Linked DNA regions of Oryzias latipes. The main gene of each other region encodes a partner of the protein of the gene in region 2 in a complex. Links are inferred from orthologs where the notes say so. Each region holds a gene or a part of one and is shown on either strand. Other genes may lie near its edges. The genes, in order: casp9 and apaf1.

Region 1 (4,585 bases), on a different chromosome or scaffold from region 2:
CTTCAAAGACAGAACATGAGCATTTGAATTCTGTCTAAGTTTAGAGAGAAATGTCTCATAGAAGTAAAAAAAATTCTTGGCCTTTGTCTATTGCATTTTAATTAAATATAAATTCTGATGAAAAGAGTATTTTAGTGTTTCACAGGGGTGTGGTTATGATGAACTCCTCTCTGAGAAAACAACCTTTTCTTGACCTTTTGACATCTAATCCAGAACTGCTAAAGAAGGAACTTCCTTTCCCAATCATTTGGAGAAGAATTTCTTTCAGTCTCCAGGGTTTGTTTAAGCATGTGTCTTGTTTTTTTTTTTTTGCACTTTCATTGATTTGCCTTTTGGCCTCTGCTTATTTGAAAAGGACAAAGGAATCCTTGTGCTTGACAGAACCTCGGACATCAACTTGAATGCCACTCATTTGGCAAATTGTCTACATAATAAATTGTTCCCTTTCTATCGTACCTGGTCTATTTCTATCCAGCTCCCAGCTGATCTGATCTTGTTGTGGCGGACCTGCATATAGCAAAAAGTAATCAAGCAACGTGTGAGCATGTTCCATGTCAAAGTCTTGAAGGCATGGCAATGGAGTGGAGCAGGAACTTTTGGACTACCGATTGTAGCACCTACATCCCTGCTGCCAGCTTTTTCCTACAGCATTTCTTTTTCCTCTGCTACTGATTCATACCAAGCTGAATAAAGAACTACTCAGTAATGCAATTCTAAGCTTAATTTTATTTCTATATGTCCTCCGTGATGAGAAAAATGCCACGACGACATGTTAAAAACGCCAAAAACACAAAGTAAAAACAGGAGACGCCTCACCTCTGTCCCATGTGAGAGTATGACGACCACACAGCAGTCGTAAATGGAATGATCCTTCCTGGACAAAGCTGACAGCTCAGATTTGATTTGCTGAAAGAAAGACACAAGTGAGCATCTTTACCTTTCAGAACGTTTCAGACCCAGAAGAAGCAGAAAGGACTCTCACCCTTTGTTTCAGATTTGTCCGGACTTCCACCACGAAGTTAAGCGACTTGAATCGTTTCTCTAGCTTGTCACAGTCCACGTTGGATCCTTTGCGAATGCTGAGCTCAGTTTTTGGCTCAAATTCCACGTTGTTTATGATAAGACAAAGACCGCATGGCCTGGCATCCATCTTATAGTACTGACACACAAGCACACCATATGTTATTTAGATCAATTATGCTGGAAACACAGCTGCATGTGGATGATGAAGGCTGCTCACCTGGATGCTGTCCCGTCGTGGTCGGACCTCTGGCCCCTTGAACACCTCGTCAGGTGCTGTAACAACAAAAGATAAGATAAGATAAGATATTCTTTATTGATCCCACATTGGGGAAATTCAATTGTATGAAATTGTATAAAATCTGGTAAACAAACAAACAAAAGGATCCAACATGGTTCCACATAGAACTTAAAGTCCCCCTCCGATGAAAATCACGTTTTTTGAGTTTTTAAATGTACATGTGTTTTTTTCTTATGAAACAGAGCAAATGTATTTAAATCATTTCATTTTAGCATTTCTGAGTATTTCTCCTTTTAAGTCGTTGTCAATCAAACTGTCGGAGAGACGCTCGGTTTGAATAATGAGCCGTTGTGATGTCATAATAGCCAAGGAGCGCATAGGCATTGCGTAAGCTCCCTGATCTGCCCCGTCCAGCGTGCACAAGCTCAGGTGCGGCAGAAGAGGAGATGGCACATTGCTGCTTGTACGGCGTGAATCATGTTCGGTGTGAACGCAGCTTAGCCGTAACTTGTAATCCTAAACTTAAGCCTTCCTCTGGATCCGTGTAGCAGAGCAAATAATAATGATACATTTTTTATTATTATTTTATTAAACTGGTACACACGTTCGTGTTGTCATTGTTCCGAAAGCGCGATTTGGAATCAAAAATGTCACTTTTCACTTTATCGCTAAAGAGAAACTTGTGAGAAGAGAGACTGTCAATCAGTATCATTGATCCCAAGTGTGTCAAGCTTGTCCCTCTTGCAGGACACAGTTATCATCATCAAAAAGGCGGGATCAAGGGCGGGGCTACCGCTCAGCACCACTAGCCACGCCCATGAAGAGGAGATTTTGGAGACAGAGGTTTAGAATGAACATGAAATATGGCGTTTAAAGATATTTAGGTTGTGGGATTGTGGGAACACTACTGGGAACGTTTTTATGAAAATAAATAAAATACATGAAAATGTTATGGGGGACTTTAACACCCCCACCCCTCCTCTCTCTCTTACGTGGACTAGGTTGGGTCCTGGGCTTCTTTGGAACAGCATCTTCAATGTCTACAGTACAAAAGACAAATAAATATTATTTCTATCAAATAAGTGATCAAACTGGACTTTGGCAGAGCAGACTTACAAACTGGATGAGGCTGGATTAGAAGGTATCCCGCCTCCGTGGATTTCCCAGGCTGGAAATGGACTCTTGGAGCTGATTTCTGGAGTAGCTCCAGCAGATTCTGCTGACCCGTGACCCGAAGGCCCTCCAGAAAAGCCGAAAACGCCTCATTCCCGCGGGTCTCTAAGTCCTTAACCAATTTTCGGGCCTGGTCCCGTTTGGTCTCACAGTTCTGTCGGCCAGGACACATTTTTTTAAATTGTTTGTTTTTTCAACAACAACAACACTAAACAAGAGACACTAACATTAGTGGTAGAAACCTACCTTTATGTCGTTTATCATGCTTTGGGTGAACACGTCTTTTCTAAGGAGAACATCACAGAGGTCCGACAGGTCCAACTCCTTTACCAGATGAACTCGGTTTCGGCGAAGGATCCTTTTGTGTTTTTCTTCCATTTCCTTCCACACGAACGCCTTACTACCAATACAGAATCAAAAACAAATTCCGAAAATGTTTTAATATTCAACCCAGAGGCGCGTTTTTAAGGATATAAATTCGTTAAAAAGAAAGCTTCTTCGCATCTAGCTTGTTTTCGATATATTTATGCCTATGGTTGGTTTTCCCCCGAAGTTCCATCAGCCACTTCCTTGTTTACATCATCACCGCCTGTGATAGGCTAGCTCATGGGTACGTTTGATTTCAGTACCGGTGTGTCTCTGTGACTGTAGGGGGAGAGCGGTGCACAAATCCAATCTATTCCCGGCTCGATAAAACGTCAAGTTGTAACACAGAGGTGTTTAAGATGTCACAGAACGCTATTGCATTTACTATTTTTAGCTCTATGCTCTTTTTTTCCTAGAGCGGTTTGCCCCGGAATATTGGTGATTTGTGGCCGAACATACCCCGTGTGTGTATCTCTGGATAGCCAGCATCGTGGAGCTTGAGAGGACCAAAACCACCCTAATGTGGCGTAGAACCGGCGGACTACCTTTGTTTTTGGAGAACATAAACAACTGGAGCAGACGCAGTCCTTAAAATGCGTTTTATTCTGGAGGAAAGGCAACATAGCCACAGGCGGCATTGCCAGTGTTTTTGTGGTTAGCATGTTATTATGGATGCTTCCGCTCTGGCATCATTTGAGTGGAACAGCTGTGCAGATGTGGAGGCAATCCAAAATCCGTGTCACGATGTAGAGGCGTTTTCTGGTGCGAACTGATCCGCTGTCGTGAGGGGGACCGATGGGGGGGTCAAAGATGACCCTGGCTGTGGCCGTGGTCCTGGCGGTGCTGCTGACGCCACCAGCTCGCGCTGCATCTGAGATGGACCCCTACAAAATATTAGGTGTGACCAGGAGTGCAAACTCAGCTGAGATCAAAAAGGTCTACAAGCGACTTGCAAGAGAATGGTAAATATATTTTTGATGGGACAACTAACCAGTTTGACATGTTCAGTTCAAATGAGCCTCTGTTTCTTCAGGCATCCTGACAAAAATAAAGATCCAGGCGCTGAGGATATGTTCATCAAGATCACCAAATCCTATGAGGTTAGTTCTGGTTCAGGTGGGTTTGACCATTTGTAGCAGTCATGCCTGAAATGTGTGCATCATCTCCAATCCAGATCCTGTCCAGTGAAGATAAACGGGCCAACTATGACCGTTATGGGCAGACTGATGACACCCAACCGTATGGCAGCGGTCATTATGGCCATCGCCATGACAACTTCTACTTTGATGAGTCCTTCTTTAACTTCCCGTTCAACAACAAGAACCAAAGAGACTTTGGCGACAACAAGTACACCCTTCACTTCAACCACTACATCAACGACGTGGTTCCTGACAGCTACAAGAGGCCCTACCTGATAAAGATCACCTCCGATTGGTGCTTCACCTGCATCCACATCGAGCCTGTGTGGAAAGAGGTGGTGCAGGAGATGGAGAGTCTAGGTTAGAGATGAGGTCTCCTGTCATGCATGAACTCATATGGGTTTAGATCATCCGTGGATGCCTTGTCTTTGCAGGTGTTGGGATCGGCGTGGTGGATGTAGGCTATGAAAGACGGTTAGCCAATCACCTCGGTGCTCACCGCACCCCATCCATACTTGGAGTCCTCAATGGCAAAGTGACATTTTTCCATTATGCTGTCGCAAAGGAACACTTGAAGCAGTTTGTAGAAGACCTTCTTCCTCAGAGGCTGGTGGAGCAGGTACATACGTGTATGTGGGGAGGGACA
Region 2 (3,817 bases):
CCGAGCTTGTCTGTAAACCTCTGAGGTGTGGGGCTGAGAGAGAGCGAGCTGGACGATGTCGGGGAAAGGACGCTGCTCCAGGTAGTGGCCACTCAGGGACAGAAACTCCTGGAACTCACTGCACATTTCATTGTTCTGGCGGCACAAAGGTCACATCACAAAAACATGTTTCAGCAAGATGAGAAGAAAGTAGAACCCACAGCTGCAATTAAGCCTAAAACTCTGCTTTATTCCTGATGTCAACTCAGTAACATTGATGCAGTAAAGGTTTCTTTTTCAAGTCGGCTGACCTCTTTGTCCAGAATGGATCCATACTCCAGATAGTCATTAATCAGGTGGGCCGGACCCATTATCTGCCCCTTCACGCTGATCCAGTCCAGGGAGAACAAGAGGGAGTGCAGCTCCTTAATGCAATGAAAGAAAAAGGCGTCATGCGGATCCAAAGTCTGAATATAAATGTACAGAGAGAACAGAATGTGCTTTTTACCTGGAAAAGGTTAGCATTGGCCATATGGTAAGCCAAGTATCGGATCCAGTAAAGAGACTCCTCATCTCTTGAGGTCAGAGGCCTGTCTTTGTAGCGGTGCTGGTAACGTTCCACCATCTTTTTGTGAAGGCTCTGAGACATGAGCATTCATGCAAACACATTAGAACGAAGAATTGTTTTAAAAACGGTTGATGAAATAACCAAGATGATAATTTTATAAGCATCTTAGATCAAAATAGACTATAGATTGGTTTATTTGAGAAATTAAATAATCTGGTATAAACAAAATCCATAACATATCTACAAAAGTTTGTACTGAATTTAAAAATGAACTTTTTCACACACACATATATGTGCATAAATTACATTAATCAGTTCTCTATAAAACACACATTTGTTTTTTTTTCAGCATCAGTTACTGGCTTTCCTACGGAGTAGAAGGAGTTAGAGGTTCACACCTTTAACTGGTTTTTATTCTGCTCCAATAAAAAATCCAGCTGAAGGTCATGGAGGTAGAAAACGTTGGGTTGGGACTGAGAGTCCACAAAAAGCATGGCTCTGTTGACAAATTCTGAGAGGGTGTCCTCAGTGTCCACTTGATCCTGACCCCATAAAACAGACATCATCTGGAAAAGTACATAAAATATTTTGGAGATTTAGCTTCATATTGTTCAAGTAAATCTGGTTTTAGACTAATAACCCACTCTAATCATCTTTTGATTTAACGTAAAAGCGTTTCCAGTGGGCTTTTAATTACGATTATACAGTTTTTAGACAAAATCGAAAATTGTGTTGTTTTCAAGGACATATTTTCTGCAGAGCGACAAAAGTTCATTAGATATTTGCCTCAGAGTTGCTGGTGGGACTTACAGCCCCTCACACCCCCCAACCTAACATTACAAGTGAAATGAAAATGGCGAGCAATATTGGAGCTATCCAGCCGTACAGCTGTGAGCCAGATGCAGCTCAGACGATTTTCTACGTTACAATTATACTCTGTTTCAAACTGTATTTTTACGTCTGCTCCTGATTCACAACGATTTGAATAAAGAAATACTCAGAAATGCAATTTTCAGCTTAATTTTCTTAATATATGTCATCCATCATCAGAAAATTGCTACATGTTAAAAATACCAAAAACACTACTCTTATTGGAGTGGGTCAAATCAAAGTTGTTGCCAGTTATGATAATCATGAATGACCTTGGCAGTGACTTTGACGTCCTTGTGTAGAACAGTCAGGAGGTTGTAGAGATCTCTGTAGTCATCAGACAAGTCTTCAATGCCTGCAGCAATAGCCTGATCCAAAGCCTCGTAGTTATAGGAACTTGACTTCCTGATACGCCGGAACTGTTTTTTCTCTAGCTGTCTGAGGTAATAACCCCAACGGTCAGGATTCTCCCTGAGCAGAGAGCCGATCATGGACACCGCCAGAGGAGAGCCTAACGGAGCCCAAAAAGAAGCAGAAAATGTGGGAGAAACATTTGTTAGTTAAAAACAAAAAAATAGATTCTAGATTCAATAAACAAGTCTGTAGCCACGCCCACAATTGCCCAATAAAATTAACACAAAATGCACAAAAAACTAACCTTGGCATTTTTTGACGATGCTTAGAGCTTCCTCAGGAAGCCTATACATCTCAATTTTGGACAGCTGAGAAAGAATCTCCAGCGCTTTGTCCTCATCCAAGCCAGAGTTCACCTCCACCTCGTGTTTACTACCTTTCAAAGTAAAAGCATAAGTTTATGGGACTTGTTTGGTAAGACTGTGTTCCTCACAGAAGACAGAAACGACTTTTTTATTTACCATTAACAACATCAGCAAGGGACCGGTTTCTGGTGGTCAGAAGAATCCGACAGTGGATATCAACGGCCTTCAGCACCGTGCTGTCCCAGACGTCGTCAAGAATCAGCAGAGTCCTTTAAAAAAATAAAATAAATAAAAGTATAAAAAAATCGGTTTACAAACAAAAAAAATAACTGGACGAGGATTTATTCAAAATATTCAGAAAATCTTAAAGATTTTCACTTTAAAAAAGAACAAAAAAAAGGTTCCAGTTCCAATTCCAGTTTTTTGTTGTTGCTTTTTTCCCCCCTGCATTTAGACTTTGCGTCAGAAGTGGCGTACGGATGAAACATAGGACGTACGTACGCACAGAAATATTCGGATTTATAAGACACATCCTACGAATCTTTCCCTTAATAAATCAAAACCGATTCTAAATGCAGAGCAGCTTTTGCGGCTTCATGACACGCCCATTGTTGCCCATAAATAGTCTGTGAAACGCCCACAAATGAATATTCATTGATTGCAAAACCATGGCAAACACCGAGAAGAAATCAAAAAAACGTAACTTCACTCAATGTGAAGTAGAAGTTATCGCTGGCGAGGTGGAAAAGAGGAGAAAAATGTTGTTTGGAGGGCACAGTGTGGGCATTACTAATGCCAAAAAGGCAAGTGAGTGGCAAACGGAGGCAGACGCCATAAATGCCTTTAGCCTCGGACCGTGGTCGGACATCAAAGTCGAAGCAAAAAACGTCTGGCGCTGCATCGCCACAGGGGGTGGTACACCGGAGCTGACCCCTCTTGATGAGCGACTGGCGGCAATAATCGGGGAATCCCTTAAGTGGAGTGGTGACTGACGCGCAGGGGGACACGACGCGCCGGATGCACCGGGTGACACACCCCCAAAAGCCCGCAGAGGAAGTCGGAAATGGCTCATAAGCCACTCGTCCTCGTTTGCCAGCAAGTCTTCTTGCTGTCTAAAGATGCGTTCACTCCGAATTCTTCCATTTGCCACATCTTCTAAAAGCGCAAGATCAGCCATTGTGCATCATTACGCATTGTGATGGGGCATTTCATTTCCATCCATTTAATTGCATCTGACAAGCTACAGATGTCGGTAATAATCGACGTGGAAAAGGGAAACTGATCAGCGCAAATGTAATTTCTTGTTGCTTTCTGAATGGTTGAGACATACGCCATACATTGTTTTATCAAAAATAAAACAAACTAAAGGCATATGCATGAATACCATAATTCCGTAGCTTATGAAGAAATGTCTTACTATGAAAACAACTTTCCCCAGTGGACAATTAATGCATCTCTCTCTATCTATCCATCTGTCTGTCTGATTGCACCTATATCTGCTCCGCCAGACGGACACTTTATAAACGTGGCTAATCAGTTTTGTAAATTATTTCGTTCTGTTAACTATATTATTTATGAGGATGAATTGCACAACATGCCAATATTGCAGAACATATTTCACTGTTCTTTTTGCAAATTTTTTTTGTTTGTTTCACTGCTGATCGATCAAACGGGTGTTCGT

Evidence for each region.
Region 1: the proteins of apaf1 (region 2) and casp9 are in contact, whole or in part, in a crystal structure (PDB 4RHW), measured with the Homo sapiens proteins. The link is inferred for Oryzias latipes from reciprocal best matches to the Homo sapiens genes APAF1 and CASP9. Residues at the interface, in NP_863651.1 of Homo sapiens: Thr22, Ser23, Tyr24, Met26, Asp27, Ile30, Ser31, Ile37, Glu40, Glu41, Arg44; in NP_001220.2 of Homo sapiens: Asp23, Trp26, Asp27, Leu30, Arg36, Pro37, His38, Glu41, Gln44, Arg45.

What each region holds. Positions count from the first base shown.
Region 1 is NC_019865.2:5,964,984-5,969,568, forward strand, and holds the start of casp9 (caspase-9), read right to left. Parts: upstream 3,036-4,585; 5' UTR 2,813-3,035; coding exon 2,681-2,812; intron 2,589-2,680; coding exon 2,378-2,588; intron 2,302-2,377; coding exon 2,254-2,301; intron 1,297-2,253; coding exon 1,241-1,296; intron 1,160-1,240; coding exon 983-1,159; intron 907-982; coding exon 817-906; intron 508-816; coding exon 457-507; intron 1-456. Other genes in the region: dnajc16 (dnaJ homolog subfamily C member 16), read left to right, coding at 3,596-3,762, 3,834-3,900, 3,975-4,299, 4,374-4,558. UniProt on the Homo sapiens protein: Involved in the activation cascade of caspases responsible for apoptosis execution. Binding of caspase-9 to Apaf-1 leads to activation of the protease which then cleaves and activates effector caspases caspase-3 (CASP3) or caspase-7 (CASP7).
Region 2 is NC_019881.2:17,123,904-17,127,720, reverse strand, and holds part of apaf1 (apoptotic protease-activating factor 1), read right to left. Parts: intron 2,406-3,817; coding exon 2,293-2,405; intron 2,208-2,292; coding exon 2,076-2,207; intron 1,929-2,075; coding exon 1,690-1,928; intron 1,114-1,689; coding exon 946-1,113; intron 620-945; coding exon 488-619; intron 405-487; coding exon 291-404; intron 136-290; coding exon 1-135. UniProt on the Homo sapiens protein: Oligomeric Apaf-1 mediates the cytochrome c-dependent autocatalytic activation of pro-caspase-9 (Apaf-3), leading to the activation of caspase-3 and apoptosis. This activation requires ATP. Isoform 6 is less effective in inducing apoptosis.